7 linked regions of the Coturnix japonica genome follow. The protein of the gene in region 1 interacts with the protein of each later gene in a pairwise test. Links are inferred from orthologs where the notes say so. Each region holds a gene or a part of one and is shown in the gene's direction. Other genes may lie near its edges. The genes, in order: GFAP, ZC2HC1C, PDLIM1, zinc finger protein 436-like, CWF19L2, UBASH3A and ABI2.

Region 1 (3,029 bases):
GGGCAGGGGGGGCTGCCAGGTCTCTGTGCCTGAAGGGTCCCCCACAGTCCCAAGATATAGAGGGGATGAGCACGATGCCATGGCCACGTCCCCAGTGCCGACCATTCCCCAAGGGTCAACCCTGTTGCTGAGGCCAATGATGTCTCTAAGGCCAACCTCAACAATGAGGGTAATTGTGTTCTGAGTGCCAACTGTGCGCCCATCACCAGCTGTGTCCCCAGTACTGCCCTCATACTCAGTGTTGACCACAGCTCAGTGCCCACCATTCCCCCAAGCACGATGCTGTCCCTAAGGCCAACCACATCTCAAAGCAACCCATGTCACCAAGGCCAACACCACTGATGAAGCCAATCATATCCCCAGTGCCAACTGTGTCCCCAAGACCAGCCACATTCTGAAGCCAGACACATCCTCAGTGCCACCTTCATACCTAAGGTCACAACCCAGTCTCCAGCCACAAGGTCCCCAACCACAACCCAGTGCCAGCATTCCTCCTGAGGCCTATAGCGTTCACTCCCACAGATCAGGATTTTCCAGCCCAACTAGTTCCTTTTGGGACCCTTCAAGGTGTATGGGGTGGAGGGGTCATATATGGGGCACTGGGTCACCAACCTGTCCCATCCATGTCTCCTAGAAACAAGCCTGGACACCAAATCTGTGTCAGAAGCTCATTTGAAGAGAAGCATTGTGGTCAAAACAGTGGAGACAAGAGATGGAGAGGTGGGAAGTCTTCAACTGCGCCTTCCACACCCTTTCCCCTCCATCCTCAAGGTGTCCCCAAGGGGGGATGTTTGTCATGTGCACGGGCTCTGTCCCCAGACATGTTTAGATGGACTTGATGGGGTGACAGTCCCTCTCCTTCTGCTTCCAGGTGATCAAGGAGTCCAAGCAGGAGCACAAGGAGGTGGTGTAGAGTGTGTGATTCATAGCCACGCTTGTAGCTGTAGCTCCATAGATCCCACCCGATGCTGCGATGGAGCCCTGTGGTGGGGCCACAGCCACAGGAGAAACCCACCCTCACCTCTCCCACCACCCCATGCCCCAGGGACTCCTGTGCTGGTCTGGCCAGGGCTGAGATCTGGGGGCATTGCTCCACACTTCCCACCTTGCTGGTGCAGGAGACCACCTTGAGCATCCCAACCATGTCCTGAGCATCCCTGGGAGGGCTGGGGGGAACACAGCACCGCATGGTCAGGGATGTTTTCCTGTTGCCAAGCAGCAGTTGGGCTTAGCCAAGGCAGGAGGAAGAGGAGGATGGAGCATATGGGGAGGCAGGTCGATGTTGGGATGGGGAGAAGGGTGATGGTGTGGGGTCTGAGCAGGGTGCCTGGGGGTACAGAGTGGTTGTGGGGCTGGAGCAGCAATGGGCACAGCAGGGTGGGAGTCTTTGTTGGCTTTTCCAGGGCACGGTGCCATGGGACTGTTCTGACCCTAATGGTGTGTCCCCCACCACGGTGCTCCTATCTCCAGAGATGCAGAGACAGTCAGGGGGCTCATGGCCCGAGCCCAGCTCTGCACAGGCATTCTCGAGGGGCTGGAAGAAATCTTGTCCCTCAGCTCCACGTGGCCCTGTCTCCTGTGCTCTCTCCCAGTGCATGTCACCCACCTGGGGCCCCTGCAGACCCAATACTCACTTTGTTTTAGCCACTGACCATGAGCTAAACGTGCCCTGCTGCCACCTAATGCAGCAGCACCCACTCACCAGCAATCCCCTTGCCCTATAACGTGAGCCCATAGGTTGCTACATGGGTACTGCCTCCTCACCCTGCTTATCTCCACATCCTCTAGCTCAGCACAGAGCTTTGCAGCTCCTAATTCCACAGGGACTGTTCCCAGGGCAGGATGTGTTATAGAGTGATAGTGCTGCGGGTCACTTTGTCCCCCATGAGCTGGATGGAGCTTTGCAGCCCTTATTGCTACTGGATTAATGCCCTAATGTTGCAACAACACGAGATGCGAAATAAAGCCTAACACAAGTGCTATGTCTGTGGTTGTGACTGTAACCTGCAGGACAAGCTGCAGGGCGGTGTGTTTTTGGGATCAGCCGGGGCAGAGCTGATCAGAGCATACCCCCAGCTGGAAGGGGGACGTGGATCAGAGCCCAGCTCCTGGCTCTGCACAGCTCCACCCAAACCTGTACCCAAACCCTATGTCTCAGAGTGGTGTCCCAATGCTCCTTGAGCTCCAGCCCACCACGTTGTGGTGCAGAAAGAAAATAAAAATGCATAAACTCAGCTTCTTAAAAATGAGATTGCTCCAGCTGAGGATCTTGCACAAACATTGAGTGTCTTGAAATGTTGGTGCCCTTTGGGGCACAGTTGGCACCAGGAATAGGAGGGTCCTTGTCACTGCTGTTGGCCTTAGTGGGCAGCTTTGGGCTGCAGTTGGCCTTGAGGAACACATTTGGCACTGGGGATATGACTGGCACTTTTTAAAAGGTAAGGGAAGCCAGAATTAATTGGAGTAGAACAGTCTGGAGGATTACAGTGGCCTCTTAGAAAAACAGCCCTAATAAATCACCGACATGGCAGAAGAACTCCATGGTGTTTAGCCAGAAAACACTGCAACGACTCCAGCTATTCATTCAAACAGGATTACTGAGGTTAAAACCCCACCACAAGCCTTCAGTGTGGCCAGGAAGTGACACAGTGGTGGCAAATCCCTGCCACAGCGCAATGGGACTTTCCACTTTGGTCTTCATCACAGCACAACCCCGAGTGGAGGATAAGAGGGCACGAGCAGCATTTCTAGTGGTGAAAACCATAAATTGCCCATAAGGGAATGGTGCAAGGTGTAAGACTGATGCTATGTCCTCGCTGAGGACCGCAGCATCCGCCAGCAGCAGCGGCTCAAGTGGATGCTGAAGAAGATGGCCCCAATGAGGATGTAGCTCACACTGATGGCCTTGAGGATGTAGATGGTCTCGGGGTCAGTAAGCTTGCGGCGGCTCTTGGACTCGTAGCTGACGGTGAGCCGCAGTCCGGCCACCAGTTTGCCCTCCCTCCAGCAGAAGTAGGTGCCTCTGTCAC
Region 2 (3,780 bases), on another chromosome or scaffold:
CAGTAAGGCCAGAGCCAGGGGCACAGACCTGGAAGAGTTTCAGCAGTGGAAGGGCTCAGAGAAACCTCAGGTAACTTGCAGTCCCTTAGCTTTCCTTAGTTCACACACACTCCTCACTTTCCTCTCTCCCTGAGATCTAGTTCTTACACATGAGCACCCTCATGAGTACACAGGGCTGAGGAACACAACCCAGCCACTGCCTCTGGAAGGCACTTGCTAAGATGAATAAGTGGATCCATATGAAATCTGATCGGGTTGGGGATGAGCAGGTGTTGTTTCTGACTGACTTGTCTATGTAATGCATCATGGGGGTACTCCTGGAGAAAACTCGCTCCTTGCTGTAGTCAGGATGCTCATCAGGGCAGACTGGGTGTGCTGTGGTAAAGAACTGTGACAGTGGAGGGCTGTGGGGAAATGACTGAAAAAACAGGTAATAAAATGGACTAGCAATCTGAGGGCAGTGGAAACATGCACGTCTGTTCCTTCAGAGGAGCTTCAGCATCTAGATCTCTCAGTCTAGTGGTTAGCAGCCTTGCATACGGCATGGGAGTTAGAGCTCAATTATCTTTAAGGTCCCTTCTAACCTGAGCCATTCAGTGATTTCCTTGGTGCTACTGCCTGCTTCTTGTTCATTCTCAAGCTCTTTTCTAAGCAGTGATGTTTGCATCAGTAACTCCATCAAACCCTCCTTGGTGCTTGGTGGGATTCAGCTTCCCTGGGAGGTTTTACATCAACTAAGAGTGCTCAGGGAGAGGTGTCTAGAATTGGACCCTGAGAGCAAGGCTGAGGATGGAGGCTGGCAGCGGTGCCTGCAGCTCTGACTGCATTTCCCTTCTGCAGAATAAGCCACCCAGAAGGAACAACTGGAAGCAGAACCATGAGGCTTTCATCCAGACCCTGCGCCACGCTCGACAGGTGCAACAAGTACTGTCCAAGGGAGGGAAGGTGTCTGACCTGCCTCCGCTCCCTCCCATTGAAAATCCAGACTACACTGCCTGCCCCTACTGCAGGCGCCGCTTTGCACCCCAAGTAGCTGAGACACACATTCCCAAATGCAAGAACATCAAGAATAGACCCTCATTCCCCCCACAGAGGAAACGCTGATAAGGCAGCTTTCTTTGTTCTCAACACTGGCTGTGAGTGTTGAGCAAGATTTACAGTAAGTAAACAGTTCAGGACATATAAGCAGAATATAAAAGTTTCTGTACTTAAATCTGTGTGCTGGATTGTGATGCCCTTCTGAGGGCTGCCTTCTCTACCTCTTCTCATTTCCTACCAGCAGAAGAGTGTAATGTACTACCATTGAGAAATCCAGGCATAAAAAATGATGGTGTTATTCAATTAGGAGAATTTGAGGCTACATTATTAAATACTTTTTCAACACATAAACCTCAGCTCAGAAATTCATGGGGGGTAGAAGAACCAGCAGCAGCAGCACTTACTGTGCAGGTCCGTATGTCAATTCACATACATAGGACAGCAGAGATGCTCTGTACTGGCCAGGCCCTTCAGGCAGCAGAACAGCCATGTCAAAGTGATTACATACTATGTACAATAACCGGGACTTGGACTTGGGAAAGAGGAGAAGAAAAACATTCAATTAAAGAATAATGCCACACAAGATCAAAAAATAGGCCATGAATAAGCTTAGACTGGAAATTAGTTTTCTAATCAGAAGAGTGAGGTCATGGAAAAATCTTCCAACTAGGTTAGCAGAGGCAAGGAACCTACATTGTTTCAGGATGGACTTTTGAGAAGATCACGGAGGGGACTGTACTGCAGGAGTAAGAAACAAATGCTCCGTGTCACAGTTCTTCATTTCCATCTTCAGGCTCATGATAAAAAGTGCAAATAACAACCAGCGATAGTACTGTACTTCAGTGCATCACTTTCAGGAGCTGAGAAGGAATTTCCACAGCCACCTCCCCTTGATTCCTAACATAGCTTCTATTTACTTTCCACCTAAAACATTCAAGAACAGCTACAGCTAGAAACCAATACAGTAATAAAATAACCAAGCAGTACATTAAGGAACTTCACAACAGGCAGTGCAACAGGTAAATCAACAACTAGATTTAATATCAAAAAGATGGAGTTTACTTGCAGGTCAAGGTAATAGGGACCTCTGAAACAGGGCTTTAACCCTTCTTTAAGTCATCTATTTTGTTTCCATTTTGTATGCTGCAATTGTAGGTGATCGTGACAAAAATCTGCCCCTTCTTGGGTGAGGTGCAAGGGAGTTGTTGGTTATTTTGGCCTTATGCTGAAGGGCTTTGTTTGTCACAAACTATTAAAGGGTCTTTGGGGGGGAATAGATGTCCTACAGACTTGGAGAAGGGCATCTGCTCCAAAGTGGTAACAGTTGCTGCATATTTGTCTTTTTTTTTCCAGATTCTGATTTTCAGACTAGTCTAATATTAGCCTATTTCTGTTTTGTAAAAAGTTGTTTTAAATGGTCACAGAGTGTTTTTTGTTCTCAAAGTAAGAACGACTACTTTGTATGAGAAAGTTGCAACAGGAAGCAAACAAGGAACAAAAAAAGTTCCAGCAGCTCCTTTTGCAAATCCTTCAGCAATGCAGCGCCAGCTCCTCACAGGAGCCTGAGGGAAAAAGAAAACAACAAGAACAGATAAAAAGCAACCAGATTGAACTGGATTAGTAAAAACCTGAATCTGAAGGAACTCCCCAGCCTGCAATGGGTGGACCAGACTCCTGAAAGAAGTTGGAGTGCTTCTGACCTATAGACATGTGGGCAGAGATCCCAATCCTGTGGCACACCCTAGAAAAACACGAAGGTCCCAGAAAGGGTCAGTACTGCACTGTCAGCCAGGTATGTATAAGAATGTGCAAACCCAGAGAAGAGAGAAAAACAGACTCAAAACAAGGGAAAAGACTTCACTGTATCCAAACCGACTGGAAAATAAGAGCAATGCTTTAACTTCAGAACTTATTAACATAGGGTGATAAGAGGATAGCAAGAGGTGACAAGAAAAGGGGTAAGAAAGGAATAAACTGAAAGCTGTATTCCCACAGTCTTGAATTAATGAAAATGCTACTGAATTAAAAAGTAGTTAAGAAATTCAGTACCACTGACTGTCTTGTAGTATTGATTCCATTTTCCTTGCAGTATGTTTTTTCTTATTGTTTAGTGGATCCTAAAAGTCAACAAATGGTCACTGGGGTAGATAGATACAAAAGCTTTTGATACGGTAAAATAAATCAACTGGGGACTTTCCTTAAGTAACAGGCAAGGAGCTGATGCTGGAATTGAAACTGTAGATTAAGCAAAAGTAGCTATTGAAATTAAATCACTAGACTTCATTATGTTTGTTTCAGAGCTAGCCTTGAGCGCTTCACCCTGTTTTGCTGAGCTAATTTCTCAGGTAACGTAAGACAGCAGAGATTTGCCCTGCTGTTTTGCTGTCACAGTTAGGGTTACCCAAGCTGTGTTACTCCATCTGGCTCAGCTTCCTCTACCATGGTACGATCCCACTCTCAGAGACATGCTGCATTTTCACTTTCTGATTCTTGACTGAACGTGAAGTTTCTGACCCAGCTCTGCCTCTCCAGGCATTTCACAACTTACAGAAATCCCCAATAAAATGCTTAGAGGTGACAGGCATTAAGTACATCGTGCAGGAGCAGTTTGCTGAGCTGATACCAGTCAGGTTTTCACCTCCATAGACTTAATGCTCAGTTAAAGCTGTTCAAGAGAAACAGGTGCTTCTTCCCTGTGAACCTTTCTCTTCCTGTTACTCATTTCCCACTTGGCATTAAAAC
Region 3 (3,664 bases), on another chromosome or scaffold:
CCACTTCATAACACACTTGCAAAGATGCGTATTTTTAAAGGAATAAAGCTTACTGAATTTGAGAGTCATGGCAGTGTAAGGTAGCAGTCTCAGGTGGTTTAGGTGTGTTGGGACCATGCAGTGTTGGCAAAGCTACTGTATGGGACTCCTATCCCAGCACGTGTTCTTTATTGTCCTGGTTCTGGATGAAGCAGCAATTGGGAAGCAGACGAAATGTGCTGAGGCTGGCCAGGGGTGGTGAGTGAGAATCCGATGACAGCAGGGCATGTGGGTGGCCCAGCGCCTCAGTCCCACTGGGGCTGCAGCTGTCTTCTGCAAGCACATCCGGCACCTCTGTCTCATGGCATCCTGTTCTGCCTTTGTTTGCACGTTCTTCTCTCAGTCACGTGATGCATTGCCATAGTTTTGCTAGAGGGACTTGCTGTAGTGTTTAGCCGTTTAATAGTTGCGTGTTGTCTTCCTTCCTCAGTTTAGATCAGCATGGCCATCCCTCAGGCAGCATTGCCATAGACAGAGACTCTGAGGTTTACAAGATGCTCCAGGAGAACCAAGAGTCGCACGAGCCACCCAGACAGTCTGCTTCCTTCCTAGTGCTGCAGGAGATTTTGGAGTCAGAGGAGAAAGGTAAGCCTGCCTGTGCGCCCTTCCTTTCAGCCTTTCCTTGGGCTGTGTATGGTGTCTCAGAGTAATGTCTCAAACTTTGTTTTCCTTCCTTAGCTGTTGCTTCTTCCAAGGTATTATGTGTAGGTGCCTTCCACAAAAACTGTAGTCCCTTTCACCGACTTTACTCTTATATTTCTTCAGCTAGTTTCGACGTCTATGGATACATATTGTTACTCATTTGATGACCAAATGGTGAAGAAATAAAAGCCTACTACATTTAGTTCTTAAGAAGTAATTCTAAAAGTTGCAAAAGCCTTCCGGACTGTCTCAAGTTTTGCCCCTATTGGAAAATATTCACCCATTTAAGGACCATCTTAGATTTATGATAACAGGTAACACAAGGTCTTGCCCCTTAGTGAGTCTTAATGCTCCCAGGTACCATCCTTCTATGGGAGGAAAAAGGGTCCCCTTCTGCAACTGAATCTAAAAACTTAGAAGCGATCAGTTTGCAGTTCTAAACCTGTGAAAACTTTGTGCTGCTTGGCACACAATCTGCCATCTGGACAGTGTGTAGATCAAGGCTATAGACTTCTAGATAAAAAACTCTGATTAACTTAGGTGGGAGCCAAATCACACTCCCTTCTGCCTTTAAATAGAGTAAAATAAACAAATAATTAGGAAAAGAATTCCAGGAATGACTTTTTTTTTTTTTTCCTCCCCTCTTAAACCGGTTGAGACTTCATCTGTGGTGTTATTGGCTTGCAGTGAAGCATTCAACTTCATCCAACAAAAGCATGGTGCTGAGATATCAGAAAGGAAAACTGCTCAGCCAAATGCTGTTAGACCTAAGTGATCTGTAAGGGAACAGTAAAATGAAGGAAGTAAGGAAACAAAAGGAAGAAAGAAAACAGGATTTTTGAGTCTTTAATCTACTGTTAAAATTCCTATCTGAAAGCATCTTAATAATGAGTGTTTGCAGCTTACCCCTCAGGGTTCAGCTCCTGCATGGAAGGGACTGGAGGAGCCAGGACTTCTCACGCATCTGAGGTCCTCCCCTGTGTTTAGTAGTGCTGAAGAAGATAAGAAGCAAAAGCCTCTCTAGTTTATCGTTCTTTGAAGATTTGCAGCATTACTGGGATTCTCTGGCACGAGGTTTGCCTGCTTGATCACAGGCCAGGATAGACTTGGGCATTGCTCTGCCGTGGGCTGTAATCACCCATGCAGAGCAAGGTTACACAGCCCTAGAGGATATGGTGCCCTGGCTCACACACTACTACTGCTCCTGGCTGAGATAGCATCCTTGGCAATAAGTGGCACCTTTTGTGGGATGTTCCTCTGAGCTTGTCTTCAGGCATTGGCTTGTGAGCAGCAGCAGGGAGCCGTCATCTCCCCAGCCAGGGCCAGTCCTTGGGGCATTGCCAGAGGCATGGACTGTGCTGATCCACACCAGCTGGAAGGATGGGGTCTGTGTGTGGGTGCTGGTGTGGGGAAGCATGATGGCTGCTCTCTGTTTAGATTTGAGCCTGCTTGCTGAGGCTTGTGGTGTTTCAGAGAGTGGAACAAGTTATGTTTCCTTGGGCGTTCTGTTAAGCTGATTCCTTTAGAGATTTAAAAATGTGCTGTCAGTGTTACTGATGTGAACAAAGTGCTGTTCAAAGCAGAAAAGGCAAGCAGGGGGATAGGGTAGAGCCTGAAAACATAGCTGCTGCTTCCTTCTCAGCAAGGGGATGCTGCCAGTGATGGGGACAGCAGCCAGGTGCCTCCTGGTGTGATTGAAGGGCCCATGGGTTTTTGTCTCCTGTAAGGCATCTCTCAGCACTGAGCTGGTGCAAGCCTCAGAGCCAAATGCCACTGTGTAGGAAAAACTGCTTTAAGCTCAACCTGGGGTGCACTGTTTGTGGCTGTGTAAAGCAGTGTGGTGGCACTCAGGCTGGGTGGCAGTGGGGTGAGCAGTGCCCCAGCTTTTTTCCTTGTTTCTCTGCCAGTGGTGCTGCCCTGGGCTGTGAAATGTCTCAGACCTTGCTGTTCACTGGGGTGAGCCGCTCCCAGGGTCCTTCTTCCACTCAAAAGGATCAGTGGGTGTACTTTGTTGGCTTGGTAATAGTCAGAAGGGTTTTGTGCCACCTCAATGTGGGGAGCTGACATGTCTGCTTACCAGCCTCCCTCTGGTCCTGTTCTGAATCTGTATCCCTTCTTCCCCTCTTACCTGGTACAGGCAAAAGTCAGATAGATAATGCTAGTTGTACCAATGGTATCATTTTATTAGTTGCTTCCTTTTCACTGCAAATATTAAAAGGCTTGCCTCCTATCCAGTGTCTAGGATCCACTACTTTTGTAGGCATCCAGATGTCTCCTTTGAAGGTCCTGCAATTGGGAAGTTCTGTCATCCCTGGAGTGGGCCACATGCCTTGTATCCCTGCAACAAGGAGTTTGTTAACCAAATCCTTCAGGAGCTGTGAGGGGAGCACAACACCGTACACCAGACAGCAGAAAGGAAAAGGCTTTGACAGCCTTATTGACTGCTGGGACACCCACTTCCTCTTTCTGAACCCAAATCTAGCCAACAGCTTGACCTTGAGTGTGCACTCAGGGCACGGCAAGCAGGATCTGATGCATCTGAGGCTGTGACTTTGCTTTTGCTTTGAATCTCTGTGCATGTGAGATGTATTAGCCAATATCTGATGGGCCTTTAAGATGAGAAAAGGGCAGTATCTCATCTTACGGCCCACCATCTCAGGCCCTGGGTTTCTGGAGCCAGGCCCAGCTGTGTCCCTTCTCACCCTACACCCTGCACACCCAAAGTCCCTTCCTCCTTCCTGTGCATGAGTCTTTGCCTTGAAGCTGATGTTGAATGACATCACTCCTCCCTAGCAGAGCATCTGCTTGGGAGAGGAGTCTAGAGCCACGCATCTCACATGCTCTGAAGCACTCTCCTTCCACCCCCAGGAGATCCCAGCAAACCATCTGGATTTAGGAGCGTCAAGGCTCCCACCACAAAGGTGGCCTCATCGATTGGGAATGCCCAGAAGCTGCCCATGTGTGACAAGTGTGGATCTGGCAT
Region 4 (4,798 bases), on another chromosome or scaffold:
TACCGGCACCGCCCCGCCAGGCCCGGCCCGGTCCGGCCCACCAGCCCCGAGCGGCGTCGAGGCGGGGCGGGACGACGAGAAGCGGGAACCGGAGGAGGGAGGGGGCTGTAAGGAGGGTGTGCGGCCCGGACACGGCGACGGACCGGAACCGGGAACGGACCCGGAGCCCGGAACCGGCGCAGGCCCCGCCAGGCCCAGCTGAAGGCGGAAGTAGCCGCCGAAACACGGAAGTGAAAGGCGAAAGAAGGCGCGCATGCGCGGCGGACTCCTAACCTCTCTCCTCTACCCTCTCGACCAATCAGCGCGCGGAGCCCCGATAAGCCCCGCCTTCTCATCAGCCCCGCCCCCACGATCCGAGTTCCTCCAATCGCCAGGCGCCGCCCCGCGTAATCCCCGCCCCCCAGCCGGCTCTCCACCAATCAGCGCTCCCTCTGCTCTCCCAGCGGGTGCCGGGGGCCCCAATGGGGGGGTTCGGGGGTGCGGGGCGGCGCTGGGCGGTGGGTGACAGCGGGTCTGAGTATGGGGTGACACCGGAGTGTCCCCGTGTTCCTATAGGGTGACACCGGGGTGTCCCTGTGTTCCTATAGGGTGACACCGGGGTGTCCCCGTGTTCCCATAGGGGTGACACCATGTCCCCGTGGGGCTGGGGATTGGGGTAACACCGGGTGTCACCTGTGGGGTGACGTTGTTGTCCCTGTGCTGGGTGACACTGGGACCAGTTCACACCAGTGAACTCCAGTATCGCCATTACTGCAGGGCAGAGTGGGGCAGAGCAACAGATGGGGGCAACCGGGGGGCACCCGGACAGCGAGCAACCGTGGGGTGTAATGGGGTGTAATGGGATGTAATGGGGTGTAATGGGGTGTAATGGGATGTAATGGGATGTAATGGGGTGTAATGGGATGTAATGGGATGTAATGGGATGCAATGGGATGCAATGGGATGTAATGGGATGCAATGGGATGCAATGGGATGCAATGGGATGTAATGGGATGTAATGGGATGTAATGGGATGTAATGGGATGTAATGGGATGCAATGGGATGTAATGGGATGTACTGGGATGTACTGGGATGCAATAGGTTACAGGGGGATGCTATGGGATGTAATGGAAAGTGCTGGGTGCACTGAAACATACTGGGATATAATGGGATGCAGTGGGATGCAATGGGAAGTGCTGGGTGCATTGGGACGTACTGGGATATAATGGGATGCAATGGGAAGTGCTGTGATATAATGGGATGCAGTGGGATGCAATGGAAGTGCTGGGTGCTCTGGGATGTACTGGGATATAATGGGATGCAATGGAAAGTGCTTGGTGCACTGGGATATAATGGGATGCAATGGGATGTAATGGGTGCACTGGGATGTACTGGGATATAATGGGATGCAATGGAAAGCGCTGGGTGCACTGGGACGTACTGGGATGCAATGGGATGCACTTGAAGTTCTGGGTGCACAGGGACATACTGGGATATAATGGGATGCAATGGGAAGTGCTGGGTGCATTGGGACATACTGGGATATAATGGGATGTGGTGGGAAGTGCTGGGATGCCCCCGTGCCGCCCCCCCCCCCGCCCCCTCCCCTCTCAGCCCCACCAGCTGTAAACATGGATGGGGGCAGAAAGGACCCCCCTGTGCCCCCTCCATCCCACACACAAAACGGTGTGTTTGGGGGGGCTCCAATTCCCCATAACCCCCTCTGAAATCAACCGCCCCCCCCCCCCCCCAGCACCACGCGGGGCCGCGCGCCGGGGTCCCCCGCAACCCCCGGCCGGGGGGGGTCCCGTCCCCATCCCCACCGCGGGTGGGTTGTATTTGTTTGGGGGGGGGGAGGGGGACAAGAGCTGCGCCATCACTGCAGCCCCCACTGCCAGCCCCGATGAGCTCGGGGAGGGGAGGGGAGGGGGCAAAGCTGCGGTGCGAGTGCGGGAGGGCGGGGGGGGGTCCTGGTGCCGCGGCCGGTGTTTGTAACCCCCCCCCCCTCCGTCTCACCCAATTTCTTTGCTTTGTTTTATCCACCCCCGCCGCTCTCCGCCCCCCAACAGCGTTTTCCCGTCGGAGCGTGATGGACGCAGAGGGGGGGCCCTCCGGCCCGGACCCCCCTCGGGACTCTGAAGGCGCTGCCACAGGTGAGCCCCCCCACCCCGTCATCCCCCCACCAGGACCGGGCCGGGAAGCTGAGGGGGGGTCCCACGCGTGGGGGTGAGGGGTTGACCCGATCTTGGGGTGGGGGTCCTGGAGTGCTCTGATCACACAGTGTGGGAGTGTCCCGGTGCCGGCGGGTGCCCGCATCCCATAATATGGCAGTATCTCAATAGCACAGCGGGAAGATGCCCTGATCCCATAAAGTGAGGATGTCTCACAGAGTGGGGACCCTAACCAATGTTAGGGTGCGGGGGTGTCCCCAAAGCAGGGAGGGGATGAGGAAGGGGCAGAGGGGGTGGAGAAAATGTGGATAAAGGGATGGGAATGGAGTGGAGGAATTGGGAATTGGGGTGGGGAGGATGGAGAAGGGGAAAGAAGGGGGGAGGGGGTGGAAAAGGAACAGGGATGGAGCAGAGGGGGTGGGAAAAGCACAAAGGGGATGAAGAGTGGGATAAGAGTGGGGAAATGCAGGTGGAGGGGATGGAAAAGGGATGGAGAGGGGGCAGAGGTGGTGGAGGTGATGGGGAGAGGGGGGATGGAAATGGGGTGGAAAAGGGATTGGGACAGTGCAAAGGGGATAGAGAAGGGGAAGAGGACATGGAGAGGGTGATGGAAATGGGGGAGTAGGGATGGAGGGGATGCAAAGGGCACAGAGAAGGAGCAAAGGGAACAGGGAAGGCTCAGAAGGGGTGGGAAAGGCACAAAGGGGACGAAGAAGGTGTAAAGGGGACAAAGGAGGCATGAAGGGGATGGGGAAGGGGTGAAGGAGTCACAGCCCCACATCTCGGAGCCCAGCCGTGCTCTCCTTGCAGCCCATCCTGGCAGTGAGGCACCAGCTCGCCCTGCAAAGAGGCGTCGCAAAGCAGCAGCAGCAGCAGCGCAGCCCCATGGCAGAGCTTTGGGGCACCCACATGCTATGGGGCCACTGGAGGAGCTGTTGGGGTTACGGGGCGGACGCCTGCGCCCCACCATCTGCGGGGAGTGTGGGAAGGGCTTCAGCCGCAGCTCAGACCTGGTGAGACACCGCATCACCCACACCGGGGAGAAGCCCTACACTTGTGGGGCCTGCGGGAAGGGCTTCAGCCAGAACTCCAACCTGGTCACCCACCAACGCATCCACACCGGGGAGAAACCCTACAGCTGTGGGACCTGCGGGAAGCGCTTCAGCGAGAGCTCGGCGCTCATCCAGCACCAGCGGACCCACACCGGAGAGAAACCCTATTCCTGCCCGGACTGCGGGAAGTGCTTCAGCCGCAGCTCACACCTCAACCGGCACCGACGGACCCACAGCGACGAGAAGCCCTATATCTGCGTGGAGTGTGGGGAGGGGTTTCGCCACAAATCCCAGCTGCGCCGGCACCAGAAGCTGCACTCAACATAGTGGGGACGTGGCTTTATGGGTGGGGAGCAGCGTTGGTCCCGGTCCCTTTATCTGTGTTCCCAGCATGGGGACTGTGGGGTGCTCAGCCCATCACCCAGAGACCCCAAAAGCTGATGGGTGGAAAGTGGGATGGGGTCATGGAGCGCAATGAGGGTGGTGGGATCTACAGCCCAAAGCAATAAAAGGTGCTGGAGCTGCACTGCCCGGCCGGGGTCGTGCTGTAGGGCAGCTGATGGGGCTGCGCTTTGTATGGGATGGATCAGTAGGGATGGATTTTCCAGTTCTCCCAGTTAGAGTGTGGTGCTGGCAGGAATAACACCTGCACTGGTTGGCATGAGCCTGCATGTGTGGCTGGCATTGCGGGATGGGGATGGAGTGGAATGGGTTTGGGATGGGAATTGGGTGGGGATGATATGGGTTGGGTTTAGGGATGGGGATGGGACAGGATGGGGATGAGGATGAGAATAAGGATGAGGATGGCATGGGCTCAAGTAGGGATGGGGATGGGATGGGCTCAAGTAGGGATGGGATGGGGTTGAGAATGGGATGGGCTCAAATAGGGATGGGATGGGGATGAGAATGGGATGGGCTCAAATAGGGATGGGATGGGGATGAGAATGGGATGGGCTCAGGGATTCAATGGGGATGAGAATGGGATGGGCTCAGATAGGGATGGGGATGTGGACAGGATGGGCTCAAATAGGGATGGGGATAGGGTGGGGATGGGATGGGATCAAATAGAGATGGGATGGGGATGGGATGGGATCAAATAGGGATGGGGGTGGGATGGGGATGGGGATAGGATGGGGACATAGGGCCCCGGGTCAGGAGGGGATTAAGGCCTCGCTGAGTGCTCAGCAGGCGCTGCCCTCATTGCATCATTTCCAGCCACGAATTAATGGGACGGGGAAGTGCTTGGGGTCAGATCCGGAGCCGTTACACAAAGCTGGAACGTGGGGCTGGGGGGAAGGGCTGCGTGTTTTTCCCCCATCCCCATCCAAAACGGTGCGGCAGCCCCTAGAAAAAGAAATAACAATAAGAGGGAAAAGGGAAAGAAACCTCAACTCTCAGCCTATGGCAGCTTTGGAGAAATAAATTATAAATAAATAAATGTGGAAAAATGCCGGGGGGGGGGGGAGAGGGGCAGCGGTATTCTCTGCCCAATGACTGCGAGGGGTCGGGGATATGAGCAGCTGCCCCCCCCCCACCCGCCTCGTGCCCCCCCCCTTCATCTCCCGGCCCCGCCGCATCCGCCCGCCTCTCCCCGG
Region 5 (3,644 bases), on another chromosome or scaffold:
GGACCATGTCAAAGGCCTTGCTCAGGTCCAGGTAAATGACATCGGTTCGCCTTCCCTTCAACCACCAACTGCCGTACTCCATCATAGAAGGCCACAAGATTAGTTAAGCATGACCTTCCCCTGGAGAAGCCATTGGTGGCTGTCTCGGATCACATGCTTGTTCTTTATGCGATCAAGCATGTTGTCCAGGAGGATCCTGTTCCATAATCTTCCCAGGCACACGAGGGTGAGACTCACCGGCCTGTAGTTACCCGGGTCGTCCCTGCTCCTTTCTTGTAAATGGGAGTGACGTGACCTCTTCCTCCAATCATCCGGGACCTCACCCTGACAGCCACGACTTCTCAAATATGGATGGAGAGCGGCTCAGCAACTCACCTCAGCCAGCTCCTTCAGGACCCTGGGATGCACGCCATCTGGCCCCATAGACTATACTCATTCAGTCCTAAGGAGGCACTCTCGGACTTGCTCCTGCCCTTACAGTGGGGAGCGGATTTACCCTCCTTGGTCCCCACATGGAAGGTATGGGGTGCAAGACTTAGGGAGTGAAAAAGACTAGAATCCTGGCCACCAGTGAAGACCGAGGTGAAGCATCATTCAGCACCTCAGCTTTCTCTTCATCTGTTGAAGCCATTCTCTTTTTAAATTTACCAGAGTAGGTCGCCCATTTTGGCCTGTCTCTTCTGGGCCAATGTACCTGTAGAAGGTTTTCTTATTGTTTTTCACATCCCTCGCCAAGTTCAGTTCTGCCTGCTTTGTTCCATTTTATTATGATTTTCTAAGGAATTTTATATCTATTAGTGAAATAATATATTTTATCTGGAAGCTTTGAAAAGCTAATTCACATTATTCATTCTTTTTCTTTTAACAGATGTTTAGAACAGCACTGGTGAAAATGTTTGAGGCTAAAGGCTTGGACTGTGTCTTTATGGAAACAAATATGAGTATGAAGAAACGATATCACATGGTATACGAATGCATTCCTCTTCCAAAAGAAGTAGGAGATATGGCTCCAATCTACTTTAAGGTATATGAAAAAGCTTTAGGTCATTTGAATGCATTTAACTTATAGTATTTCTGGAAAAGTTTTCTTATATTGAAGTGCCAGTTTTGAATAGGTAATTTTTTTTTCTGGTGAAGAAATGTTTATTGATCTTTGAGCAAATGTATTGATTTAGTATCTGGAAAAGAAGGTTTTTGAAGGGTAAATTTGAATGAGTGCACATACTTCAGTATTTATGAGTAAATTATTTTATTTGTTCTTTGAAAATATTCTCTGAAAATAAATAATATAATTGTTTTAATGAAGTGGATGTCAGTGTGATGAATAGCAGTGCAATAACTTTTATGGCACATTTGTAACTCTCCACGTGGCTGATTTCATTGGCTATGTTTTAAGTGCATTAAGTATTTTCTTTGAAAACTAGCAGAAAGGTGAAACACAATGTCATTTGTGTTCAGAAATTTTCCACCATTAAAATACACAGTAAATGAAAAATAAGAAGGTACCTACACTTCCATACTATGATAGATGCAGAGTCAGCTTTACAAGTCTTTGAGTGCAATCAGACGTCTAATTTGGATTTTCCTTTTGGAGTTCAAAAATGAAAAAGGGAAAGAAAGATAAAAGATAAAAAAAAAAAAAAGACTAATATGGCATAATGAAATCAGAACAAGTTTATTATGAGCTCAGTAAAAAGAAATTGAGACCTTTTACTCCCTAATAATTTGAAAGTTTCTTGTTAGAGATAGCTTGTCAGGCTAAAGAAAGATTCCGGGGGAAAAAAAAAAAAAAAAAGGAATAGAATTAAGTGAGTTCCAAGATATTAAATGGTTCCTCTATAAAGTATCTAAGTTCTCGAAATCAGAAAGATTACCAAAAATAAAATTACTTTGTTAAGAAATAGCTCATACTTGCAGTGCAAAGTTTGCTTTACTCCATTGGAAAGTGAGTTCTTTGCTGTACGAAGGCCTATCTTCTCATTTGGATAAATGATTTTACAGAAAGCTATAATGGAGTCTGATGAAGAGTGGTCCATGAACAAGAAGATAATTGATCTCTCTTCAAAAGATGTTCGGAAATCTGTAAGTAATGAAATGTATTGAACACTGAAATTTTCAGCAAATTGCTTTAATCTATTTAAGTTATTAACTGTTTCAAAGAGAGAAGAAAAGGAGCGCAATTAAATTAGTGGATCGGGAGATGGCATAGACGTGATGAGCATTGGAGTCTGACTGAACTCATAATTGATGTTAGAAAAGATTCCCATTTATTTCAACAACAGATGAACTGAGCTGCAAACATTGCTTGAGAACAAAGCTGGCATTTTGAGTACATGTACCAGCATAATTTTCTTGATTAACTTTAAGAATTAAGATAGATCAAAGATCTACAAATTGCTGTCTGGGAAAGAATATGATGTATCTTTTGCATTGACCTGGAACAGCCTTTGGTGTTGCTAAGTTTATGAAGTGAAGATGCAAATAGTGCTATAAATCTTTATTTCTAAAACAAAGGAAATGTTTTTTTCATATAAATCTTGAAGGAATAATGCTAAAACTGTTAAGTTCAAAAATTGGTCCATAGATATACTTTGGGTTTCTTCTGCTTCTTGGCCTTTCATAATAGGGAAAGCCAACACCTGTCTCAATAAAACAAAGTATAATTTTCTTGTCTTGTGATAGAGCATCGGGACATCTTTTTTTTTTTTTTTTTTTTTTTTTTAATGAACCATATGATTTTATAATTGTTTTATATACCCATTTGAAGGTAGATCACTTCTCAAATTAATTCAGGGCTCTTCTTTAAATTAATAAACTGCATCTGTGTGTAAAGTGTTTCACAGTTCTCTAACTTTAACATAATTTTAGGATAAAAAACAAAATAAATGCCTTCAAGAAAATATTGAAGTACAATTTAGGGTCTGACCTGAGGGAAATAGAGGGTTGTACTATGAAGTGGTGGTGTGTGGAATGAGAAGCAGACATGACTGTGACATTTAATGGTCTGATTGTGTGCAGAAATTGGGATTCTAGGGGCGGAACCCTAGCACACGAGCCTGAGCAGCCAATGCTCTTGCATGGTATCAAAGCCTTTCTGTTTCTTACTCTTGACCTTCCAATAAACAAATTCAGGGGCAAGCAGTGGGCTGGGAGGGGGCACAGCTGGGACAGCTGACTGAGGAGCAAGCACTCTTCAGCAATAAATAAACACTGGTATATTATTATGGTGTATACTGGCCTAGTTACCAGTCCAAAACGTTGCTTCGTTTGGGCTGCTCTGAAGAAAATCCATCCACAAGCAATATAAGGAACACTGAATGAAAGTTTTCAGTTACTTTAGCTGTAGCAGAGAAGATACGTATGAGTTTGAGGCTTTGTAAACCTTACTGTACAGGAACAAATTATAAGCAGATTGTGAAATTATCCACTTTGGCAGTTAATCATAATTTCCTTCATCTAGTTGGGTTTTCCAATAATGTATTCTCTGTAGAGGTGCTTGTCTTCCCCCTCCTTCATGAAGACTATCAGTGTCTCCTCTGAGTAACCACTTCCTCTTACAGCGTGTCACCTTATTTTTAATAAATGTGCTTAAAATTAGTACTCATCCCATATAATTCAAAGCTGTGGACTCAGAAAGGCATTTG
Region 6 (4,913 bases), on another chromosome or scaffold:
CGTAAAGTAATATTGCAGTATTTGCAAACCTTTCTGTAACCTTCCAGGCAAAGAAATACCACCGAAGTTAAACCACGCGGGCTTGTGCTTGCTCATCTTTTATCAAAAACTGTGCAGTGAAGGAGTCTGCCTACAGCCCTGAGTGGCAGCAGGAAGAGACCCAAGTGTTTCTTTGTGTTGTCATATTGGGACCTTGGATGATGCTCCTTCTTCACTTCCTTACCCTTTGCTGTATGCTCATAGCAAACAGCACATTTAAACAGGGGTTCTGGGAAAACAACAGCAATAACAACACATATGTTAATTGTGGATAACTTCCATAATCAAGCATTGTACAACCTTTTGGGAATATTTTTCAAACAGTAGTAACTCATTCCTGAAAACAGTGTGCCTGTATTGAGAGTGTTGTATCAGCTTCTTTTCAGTCTGGGCTTAGAAAATGAAAACTTATGTTCAGCTTTGTAAAATACTTAGAAGTAGTCCTAATTTGGCTTGCAGTTTTTCAGTAAATAGAGAGATGATGCTGAAGGGAGAGTGGAGGGAAAAAGGAGGAAGAGAGATGAAGTAAAAGGTCATGGTAGTGTAAGTGAAACAAGACTTCCTTAGAGACCGTGGAAGAAATGGTTTTCCATGAAAATACTTCTCTGTGTCTTCCTGCAGTGAGAGAAAACAGTCAGTCCCTTCACCATGTGGGATGGAAGCTGGCACTTAGAAAGGACAGAGCACAGTTTTCTCGTTCACTGCTCACATCCATCCTGTGCCATTTGCATTGCTCAAATGCTCTCCTCACCAGGCTTCAGAGGTAAAGACTGGGAGAGGCAGCCCAGACTGCTGAGGTGCCCCAAGGGGAACTTCAGCCAAGGAGATAGTAATGGCTTTTTTCTTGAGACCAGCAGCTGTAGAGACCCTTTCATTCCCATCCTTCCTGGGTGACAGGGTACCCTCAGCAAGGATAGCCAAGGCCAGGGAAAGCTGTCTCTGCCATTTTGCCTGCTCTGACCACCCTTGGAGTCCCAACGATAGGCCATATCCACTTTTTGAATTCTCCATTAGTAGGACAGCACTACCAGAAAGCACAGGCCTCACTGAGCTGCCTCTCAGAACTGCTCCAAGCTCAGACCCAGGGCATTGTGTCTAGATGGGGAGCCTGGTTTGTCCTTGTACAGTTGGTCAGCTGGTGGACTATGGCTGTGGCCACAAGGGTGTCCAAGTACAGCTGAACTGGAGAATATGAATGTTGAGCCCAAGAAGAACGAGTTCAGCCTACAAAACAACTTCTTATATGGTGCAGGAAGTCCTTTCCCTCTCCAGTAGAAGTTCAGATGGATTTCTTGGCTTCGAGAAGAGAATTTAAAATGAAGAGCTAGGAGATCCAGTCTCAGACTGTTCAGCAGGTCCACCCTGACTCTAAAATTTTCACTTGGACAACACATCTTGTTCTGCTAGGGCAGATGGGAACAGCCTGCAGATACTTTTGCTTTTTTAACTACTTTAAAACAAAAACTCAAAGACACACAGGTTACGAAAACAGGATGTCAGGATGATCTTTTGTCAGAATAGATCACAAGAAGTTTGAGGGGTTTTTTTCTTTTTTTTTTTTCTTTTTTTTTCTTTTTTTCTTTTAGCTGCCTCTTTCTCTTTCTCTCTCATTTTCTTGCCCCCTCCCCCCTCCCCCTCCTAATTTCTGTCAGCACTGCGCATAGCTAGAGGGAGAGAGGAGGAGATGGCGGTGGCTGAGACACAGCTGTATGCAAAGGTGTCCAACAAACGCAGGAGCAAAAGCCCATCTGCACTCCTCGAGTCTCTCCTGGCCAAAGGATTCCCAGCTCACATCGCGTGAGTAATGTTTTCAGTTGCTTTTGTACATTGAAAGGTGGTTCTTGCATCTGCTTAAATGCATACAGCTTGCGTTTTCCATCAAGAGAACGTGCCGCTTCTTGGGGGAGATATCTCCACAGGAGGAGCAGGTCTGTCTCACTTTGAATACCTTGTAGAGCACTGTGTATTGATCTTACTGCTGAAACAACTTGTTCTGTACCCATTTCTAAAACTACTCTGGGTATCTGAAAGCACATGGTCTTCTGCACCCGGAATTTGAGAGGCTTCACAATGAGTTAAGAAGTTGATATCCATAGTTCACTCTAGGGATGAATCCTTTCTTTTTTTTTTTTTTTTTTCTACTTAACACTGTTATTACAAGGAAACTAAATGTGGATGTGGCTTCTATACAAATATTTTTTCAGGCCTGGCAAACAAAAGTTCTGTCTCGGTTTTGTCACAGGAGACTGTTTTAAAAGGGTAAGCTTTCCTTAACAAGATGCCACATTAGTCTTTCTGTCCTAAAAATGAATCTTGTTTCAAAAGTATGTCCTACCAGGAAAATGTCAAGCCCTGTCCTTGGCAGCTCCATCTGAGGTAGGATGAACTGGTGGCAGCAGTTCCAATTGAGTTAATAAAAACTCAGTTAATAAAAACTAGTAAATAATCAGTTACTTGAGGTCAGCTCTTTCCCCAGATATGGCTCTGGTCAGTAAGAGAGGCCTGGAGGTTTTACAGAGCGTCAATAAATTTCTGAAGGGAATTTGGACTGTTTGGACTCTGTGGTGGCAGCCAGTTGTGCCATTGACTTAAGACTGAAGAAAATAAGTCCTTCCACTGAAGTGTCAAAGAAGTTCTTAAACAAGTGTTTGAAAAAGGACATAATTATCACTGTAAACTCCATTCTAGACTGAAAATTAAGCAAGCTGATCAGGCTCTGTTTTTTGGGAACAACTGATGCTTAGTGAAGCATCTTTAGATGTGATGCGCACAGTTTACAGGGAAGCTGTGGGTTCCTTATTCCTGGTTATGCCCAGTGGAATTTTAGCTGTGGAGCTTAAAATCTGCCTTGTTGTTTTTCTAGTAGATAGTATAAGTATGGTCACCCCAAAATAAAGTCTAGTTTCTATTCTGTATGTTATGTTCTTCAAACTGCCTTCAAAACATTTTCTTCGGTAATTGACGTGGCTTTGTGCTTTCCAGGCCAAAATCAAGACACAGCAAAGCGCAATGCAACATAAAATGGTAGAAAGTCCAAAAGCACTTTATTTATTTGTTTGTTTGTCTTTACAGACTTTAACACATCTAAAAATTGGACTGTAGTTTATAAAGCTTTTTAGCTGTTTCCGTAGGTCTTGGCCTCCGACATAAAAGAAAGTTCTGAAAATTTGCTCTTTTGTGACATCCTGGCCTATGAAAAGTAAGCCTTGTTGAAAATATTTATTTTTATTTATTATTTACATTATGAAATGCTTCATAATGTTGGACAATCATGCAAAAGCAACATTTTCAGAAAGTACAAAACACTAAAACTTGATGATAGAGCCTACCAGCAGATGAGCATAATGAATATCTCATGCTCTGATAGAACTGAAATGTGATCGCTGTTTTCTGCCTTAAGGAAGAACCAGCTTGTTCTCCCTGTAAATATATTATTTTGAATGCAGATTTAAAAAGATTTATTCCTACAGTTTATCTGAACGAATTAGGCATGTACAGGATTTATCGTATGCATTATCTTTTAACCTCCGCTGCTCATCTTGGAAGCGCAGGATGTCTAATTACAGCCTAATGTTTTAATAACACTGAGGGCTGAGAAACCCTGCTGGACAGCATCCTAATACCAACTTTATATGATGGGATGAAAGATGGAAACAGACACAGAGAGGAGCGTGGGGGAGCAAGGAGATGATGCTGAGCATCATGACAGGCCGTGGCCCCAGGTCTCCAATTGTCTTATTACTTTTACGATCGCACAGAGTTTATGTAAAGAAAAACTGCTGTCAAGCTCTGCTTGTCTTTGGGGCTGTTTACAAAAAGCTTGTCTCCAAATGGGAGGGGTGGCATGGCATAAAGTGATAAAACACTCACAGTGAATTGTAGCAGTAGGTGACAAAGTTCTGGCCAAGCAGAAGTAATCATTTACATTCCAGCAGGGTATGACAATAAAGGCTGCATGGGGAGCACAATGAAAACACAAATTGTTCATGTTTGATGTGATAGAGAAGAGAAGAGTCAGCAGAGAGGCGATGCAGGTCACAGAGGAAACAGGGCCACTTTTGATCAACTAGTTCATGCTTTGGGGATTGATTTGGCCATGGTAGTCAATTTTAATTTTAGAGAGGAGAAAGGTAGAAGGTAGAGCTTGAGCGGAAAGACTCGAGTTAGTCTTCAGCTGTGCTGATCCTCCACTAAGAAGCCAAGTATGGTTGCACATGCACACATGTATATTTAATTGTTTTTAACAGACCCATGTGTAGTTTTACATTAGAAGGAAAAGTCTGGGAAGAAGCAACCACAGCAAGATTAAGACTTGCTCCTTAACGCACCTATGGCACTCTAGTACATGCATAGGTGCCATACGGATGGAGGGAGGATAAAAATGTGAGGACTGGGTTAAGCAAATGGATGCCCTCAGGACACAGCTGTCAGAAAAGATAACCTTAAGAAAGAAGGAAGGATAAGCAGATGTGGAGTAATTTGGCAGTTTTTCTTCCATTTCTACTACCTCTCATTCCCTTTCATGTCACTTTTGAGAAGTTTACAGGTGGATTGCAGGGCTGGAGATGAAACACTGTGAACCCTTCAGCCTTCAAGAACTCAGTATTTGCTCACAAAGACTCTGTCACGTAAAGGATGTCAATGGCATTTTGAAAACTCTAGCTATTCTCCTCTCTGGTGACCAGCGATAGAACCTGTGGGAACTGAAACAGGGTTGGAGGTTGGGAAAAGGTTCTTCACCAGAGGTTGGTGGGCATGGAATGGGCTGCTCTGGGCAGTGGTCACAGACCCAAGAAGCTGGAATTCAAGAAGTGTCTGCACAATGCTCTCAGACACAGGATTTGATTTTTGGGTGGTCTTGTGTGAAGCCAGGA
Region 7 (4,357 bases), on another chromosome or scaffold:
GTCTATCCAGGTAAATGGAAACTTGCTGTTCCTCTTCCTGTTTCAGCATTACCTTTAAAATTTGCAGACTTGAGGAGGAAGTCCCATGAGGAACCTCAGAATTCATTTTCCAGAAGCATGCAGTCATTGAAAATTGCTTGCTATTGGTAGCGTTAATTTGAATAGAGTAATATTTTTTTTGAGAGTGTCTGAGGTACTGCAGAGTTCATTTTATGCGTTACTTGATTTACAAATGTTTTTTGCCTGGCTGCCTGCATGAAACCAGATAGAACACAGTATCTTTTTTGGTGGGCAGGGAGAAATTTATCCCTTTTAAGCAAATTGATGCATTTTCATTGACTGTTCATGCAGATCTATAGCAGCTTGCTTTTAGACAGTTGGATTAAAAGAGAGGCAGGCAGAGAGTAAATCCTTAAATACACAGTGCAAGCCTAGCTGAGTTGTCATAAAAAAGTGCTCGTTTACTGTAACTACACCTGTCTTCCCAGAAATAGGAAGTGATGTTAGTGCTCCTTGTTCAGCACTTTCGGTGAAAAAGAGCATATAGTTTTGGCTTGCAGTGTGATCTGAAATACATGATGTTTTTGAACCAAAGGAGCACTTTTGTCTTTCTTCTTCTGTATATTTGTACAAAAACTCAATGCAGCTATGCTACAGATTACAGCCTAAATAACAAAGATTAAAGACATCTTTCAAAAGTAATGGCTCTCACTGGAAGGTTCTAGGTTGTTACCTTCAGACCTGGAAAGAAGCAGCAGGTTTGCTTGACCCTCATGAAACTGTCTACGTAAGAATGAGTCTTTCTTTAGTAGCTTCATTTTTCCCTCATCTCCTTGTGCATTCTAAAATACTATGCATCTAGTAAGTAGCTAACACTGAATAGTCAAAGGCTTTCAATAATCCTTGCTAACATATCTCCCTATTAACGCCACCTCTTCCTCCTCTCTTCACCTAGCCCCCGCTGGCTCATCTGGCACTTCTCCCCTTCCTTCTACCTCTGCTCCTGCCCCCACCCCTCCTGCTCCAGCCCCTTCCTCCTCTACCCCAGATGCTGCTGCTGCTGCAGGAGCCCAGCCCCTTGCTGATGGCTTCACCTCTCCAACTCCCCCTGCTGTTTCTTCCACGGCCTCTACAGGTGAGTGTCTGCTCCCTTGTGTGGGCAGATGGGCCCAGATGTGATCACGGTCTGAGGCTTTACAGAGCAAATTTTCAAGGAGTTGCTTCAATTGGTAACTCCTGAAAAACAGGTCTTTGAGTATGATTTCATTTATCCCATCCATTCAAGTGGTTTATAACGTTCTCTTCTCCCCAGATGATTCTCTGTATATTTCAGGAGCAGCAACAAGATATTTAGCATTGTGTTTTTCTGTGAATAAGAGCAAACAGTTTGTACATGTTGTGTTGCTTGACAGCTGGAGTGCAAAGTGATATTTTTTGCAGGTTTATAAATGAGAACTTCTTATAAATTCAGTTATTATAATAAGTTTCATAAAATGGATAAATGAAAGTGATTTTCTTTCACTTTATGGCATATGTACCTTTGCATTTTCTTTTTTGTATGTGTGATTAGTGATGATTACAGGCAGTTGGAGGAGTTTGGTTTTTTTTGTATTGCTGTTGAGACACGCAGTGCTCTGACAGTCCGGTAGCTGAGCTGACTGCTTATAGGATGTGGATTGTCTGTAAAAGAACAGAGATGTTTCCTAGCCTTTGAATTCTGAGTGGAGCTAAAAAAAAATAACAGGCATAATCCTTCCCTTGGTAACACATTTCTTTTTCTAACCCAGGCCACCCAGTTCAGTTCTACAGCATGAACAGGCCTGCGTCTCGACATACGCCACCAACAATAGGAGGATCCCTGCCATATCGGCGTCCTCCTTCAATCACGTCACAGACGAGCCTTCAGAACCAGATAAATGGAGGACCTTTTTATAACCAGAACCCAGGTAAGAAAGGTTATCTGCTGTGATGAATGCAACGCAGGGTTGAATTGACTGACTTTCAGATCTCTGAAATCCTACATTTTGTCTCCAGCTCTTGCAGCCAGTCTGAGGTAACTTCCTGTACGTTGCTGGTAGCCGTGCTGAAGTGGAGGTGTGAGCACAGAGCATGCAGCTGTCATTATGGCACACAGCTCAGGACAATTTGGCTCTTGTTGTCAGATAGATTACTTTTGATCTCCCAGGATTTGCAGGATCTGTTGGACACCCTTCAGTCCTTTACTACACTATGTGTATAATGTAGCTGCTTTGGTGTGGAATAAGTATTTGGTTTTGCAGCAAAACACTGATTCTTCATTAATCAGTCTGTGTGCTTGTGTGCTTTTTCCTTGTGATTAACCACCAGTTCAGTAAATTGTTCTTCCTATATAGCGGTAAGTGTTAGAGATTTTAGACATCAGTGGTGTTTGGTACAGAGTGCAGGGGAGCTATGTCCCTTGTGAAGTTCCATATGTGATGTTATTCTAATGGATGACCTGTGCTCAAAAGCAGGTTGAGATTTTAACAAGCAGTGTTGTCGTGTATGTTGGGGAATTCAGCAGCTGTTCATCTCTGCTGTCCTCCCTGAGCTTCTGAGGAGAAGTGAAAGTATTGATGTGACACTAAGGGACGACTTTTCTTACAAAGCTACAATGCTTTGTAAGAAAATGCAAGGGATGCAAGGGACACAGTGAAAGTTCCTTGTCAGCAAAGTCAAGTCTGAAAGTTGATTTGAAACACTGTAGTGCTACTGTGTGGGTACTTTTGTTGATCATCTGTTTGGCTTTGTTGTTTTACATGAAGCATTGAATTAGGAATTAGGTTAATTGCTGCAGTTTGAGTTTAAGGGATCTGGTCAGGTCCAAATATTACTGCTTGTGAGTCAGACTGTGAAGAGATGCACGTGATTAACTTGAGAAAGAAGCAGGTGGTTCTGCTGGGGACAGAGAGGGTACAGGAGTTTGTATGAGTGAATTGCAGCTCTGTTGCGTGAAATACATGGTATTTGTTAGGCACGTTATACGCATGTTGAATTTTGAAGGGGAATAAATAGGAAGGAAGGGAAAACAGCTATAAAGGAAACATTTCAACATTGCTTTTTGCAGTATAGAGAATTTTCACTGCATCCAGACACATATGCAATTTTAGACAGCATATATAATGCCATTGCAGGTAATAATAAAGTTACCAAATAGACTTTATTTAAATTGTGTAAATGAAGGTCAGTCTGAGGACTCAAAAGGAAGGTAATGATTATGGTTAAGATAAAACAAAGAATGATGTCAGCTAGTGTTAACATCACCATTTTGATTAAACTCTGTGATCCAAGCACAACAAAGGGGTTTTTGTTGTGTTTGCCTAGAGTGCTTGTCTAGAGTGATTTGTCTTTCTACCTGGAAGGCCTTGTTATCTCCTTCAAGGACTTACATGCAGTACACAACATGCACAGAAGGGACCCGGGAGACCAAAGGTAGTCTCATATGGTACACAGGAAGCGTATGATTTCAAGTGATTTTGAATAAGGGAAACATTTTGAAACTAAGTATTTTTATAGTATATGTAATTAAAAAGGTGGTGACTTCATAGCTGGACAGGAACACTGCATTCCTGAATGCTGTTGCATTTCAATAGTGCTTCAAATTCAAGTTCCCTTTTCCTCTTTGGGAAATGCAAGACCAGGTCTTTTCCCAGAAGTTGTGGTTACTCCTGAAGAAATGTATTCTCTCCAAGGTCACCTCACTCAAATCAAAGAAGCTGTAATTAGAAATGTATATTAAGGTTTCCCAAGAAATACCAGTTAAGTGGTGAGGTAATGGAGCCTGCTTTATATGGAGGTATGTGGATACTCTTAACAAAGCAATGGTTACTCCATTTTGGTTTCTGTGTTTATTTTGTTTTGTTTGTGATGTGTGGTAGAAAAAAGAAGGTGAATGTGATTGGCAGAAGAAATTCAAAGTGCTTGTGAAAATAATTGCTAAAATGAGCAAACACTGTATTTTGAGATGTGAATTTAAAGTAACTTGGGCTTTTTTTTTTCCCCCATTTGCTGTGATGAGGGGTATTAATTCTGAAAAATGCTCAGTCACGCACTGTAGCTCTGGGATTAGACTGAAATTTAATTAGCTCACATCAGTAAGGTAAATAAACGTACTGGTACATGAAGTGTAGATTTATTTTTCTCCCCGCTATTCTCTTGGACATGATTAAATGTCTGCGTATGCCACGCTACCAAGAAATGACATGGTTGTGCTTTTCCTGAGGTGTGCTTTCTGGAAAATATTCCAAGAACTTTCTTGAAAAAAAGAATTGTCTTGCATTATCCTTACATGGTGAGACTCCAGTTTTGTTAACTAGAATTAACTAGTTTTTTGTACTTA

What was found.
Region 2: the proteins of GFAP (region 1) and ZC2HC1C interact in binary tests that used the Homo sapiens proteins (3 or more experiments, as listed by UniProt). The link is inferred for Coturnix japonica from reciprocal best matches to the Homo sapiens genes GFAP and ZC2HC1C.
Region 3: the proteins of GFAP (region 1) and PDLIM1 interact in binary tests that used the Homo sapiens proteins (3 or more experiments, as listed by UniProt). The link is inferred for Coturnix japonica from reciprocal best matches to the Homo sapiens genes GFAP and PDLIM1.
Region 4: the proteins of GFAP (region 1) and zinc finger protein 436-like interact in a two-hybrid assay, tested with the Homo sapiens proteins (2 studies listed by BioGRID and IntAct). The link is inferred for Coturnix japonica from reciprocal best matches to the Homo sapiens genes GFAP and ZNF774.
Region 5: the proteins of GFAP (region 1) and CWF19L2 interact in binary tests that used the Homo sapiens proteins (3 or more experiments, as listed by UniProt). The link is inferred for Coturnix japonica from reciprocal best matches to the Homo sapiens genes GFAP and CWF19L2.
Region 6: the proteins of GFAP (region 1) and UBASH3A interact in binary tests that used the Homo sapiens proteins (3 or more experiments, as listed by UniProt). The link is inferred for Coturnix japonica from reciprocal best matches to the Homo sapiens genes GFAP and UBASH3A.
Region 7: the proteins of GFAP (region 1) and ABI2 interact in binary tests that used the Homo sapiens proteins (3 or more experiments, as listed by UniProt). The link is inferred for Coturnix japonica from reciprocal best matches to the Homo sapiens genes GFAP and ABI2.

The regions. Positions count from the first base shown.
Region 1 is NC_029542.1:785,052-788,080, reverse strand, and holds the end of GFAP (glial fibrillary acidic protein), read left to right. Parts: intron 1-634; coding exon 635-720; intron 721-871; coding exon 872-913; 3' UTR 914-1,982; downstream 1,983-3,029. Other genes in the region: Ig-like V-type domain-containing protein FAM187A, read right to left, coding at 2,806-3,029.
Region 2 is NC_029520.1:34,610,635-34,614,414, forward strand, and holds the end of ZC2HC1C (zinc finger C2HC domain-containing protein 1C), read left to right. Parts: coding exon 1-70; intron 71-840; coding exon 841-1,104; 3' UTR 1,105-3,086; downstream 3,087-3,780.
Region 3 is NC_029521.1:13,997,167-14,000,830, forward strand, and holds part of PDLIM1 (PDZ and LIM domain protein 1), read left to right. Parts: intron 1-469; coding exon 470-624; intron 625-3,549; coding exon 3,550-3,664. UniProt on the Homo sapiens protein: Cytoskeletal protein that may act as an adapter that brings other proteins (like kinases) to the cytoskeleton. Involved in assembly, disassembly and directioning of stress fibers in fibroblasts.
Region 4 is NW_015439867.1:518,870-523,667, forward strand, and holds the start of zinc finger protein 436-like, read left to right. Parts: upstream 1-1,710; 5' UTR 1,711-1,808; intron 1,809-2,049; 5' UTR 2,050-2,069; coding exon 2,070-2,133; intron 2,134-2,961; coding exon 2,962-3,529; intron 3,530-4,798.
Region 5 is NC_029516.1:161,585,838-161,589,481, forward strand, and holds part of CWF19L2 (CWF19-like protein 2), read left to right. Parts: intron 1-868; coding exon 869-1,024; intron 1,025-2,001; coding exon 2,002-2,082; intron 2,083-3,644.
Region 6 is NC_029516.1:98,572,206-98,577,118, forward strand, and holds the start of UBASH3A (ubiquitin-associated and SH3 domain-containing protein A), read left to right. Parts: upstream 1-1,697; 5' UTR 1,698-1,723; coding exon 1,724-1,836; intron 1,837-4,913. UniProt on the Homo sapiens protein: Interferes with CBL-mediated down-regulation and degradation of receptor-type tyrosine kinases. Promotes accumulation of activated target receptors, such as T-cell receptors, EGFR and PDGFRB, on the cell surface.
Region 7 is NC_029522.1:11,947,504-11,951,860, reverse strand, and holds part of ABI2 (abl interactor 2), read left to right. Parts: coding exon 1-10; intron 11-955; coding exon 956-1,135; intron 1,136-1,787; coding exon 1,788-1,946; intron 1,947-4,357. UniProt on the Homo sapiens protein: Regulator of actin cytoskeleton dynamics underlying cell motility and adhesion. Functions as a component of the WAVE complex, which activates actin nucleating machinery Arp2/3 to drive lamellipodia formation.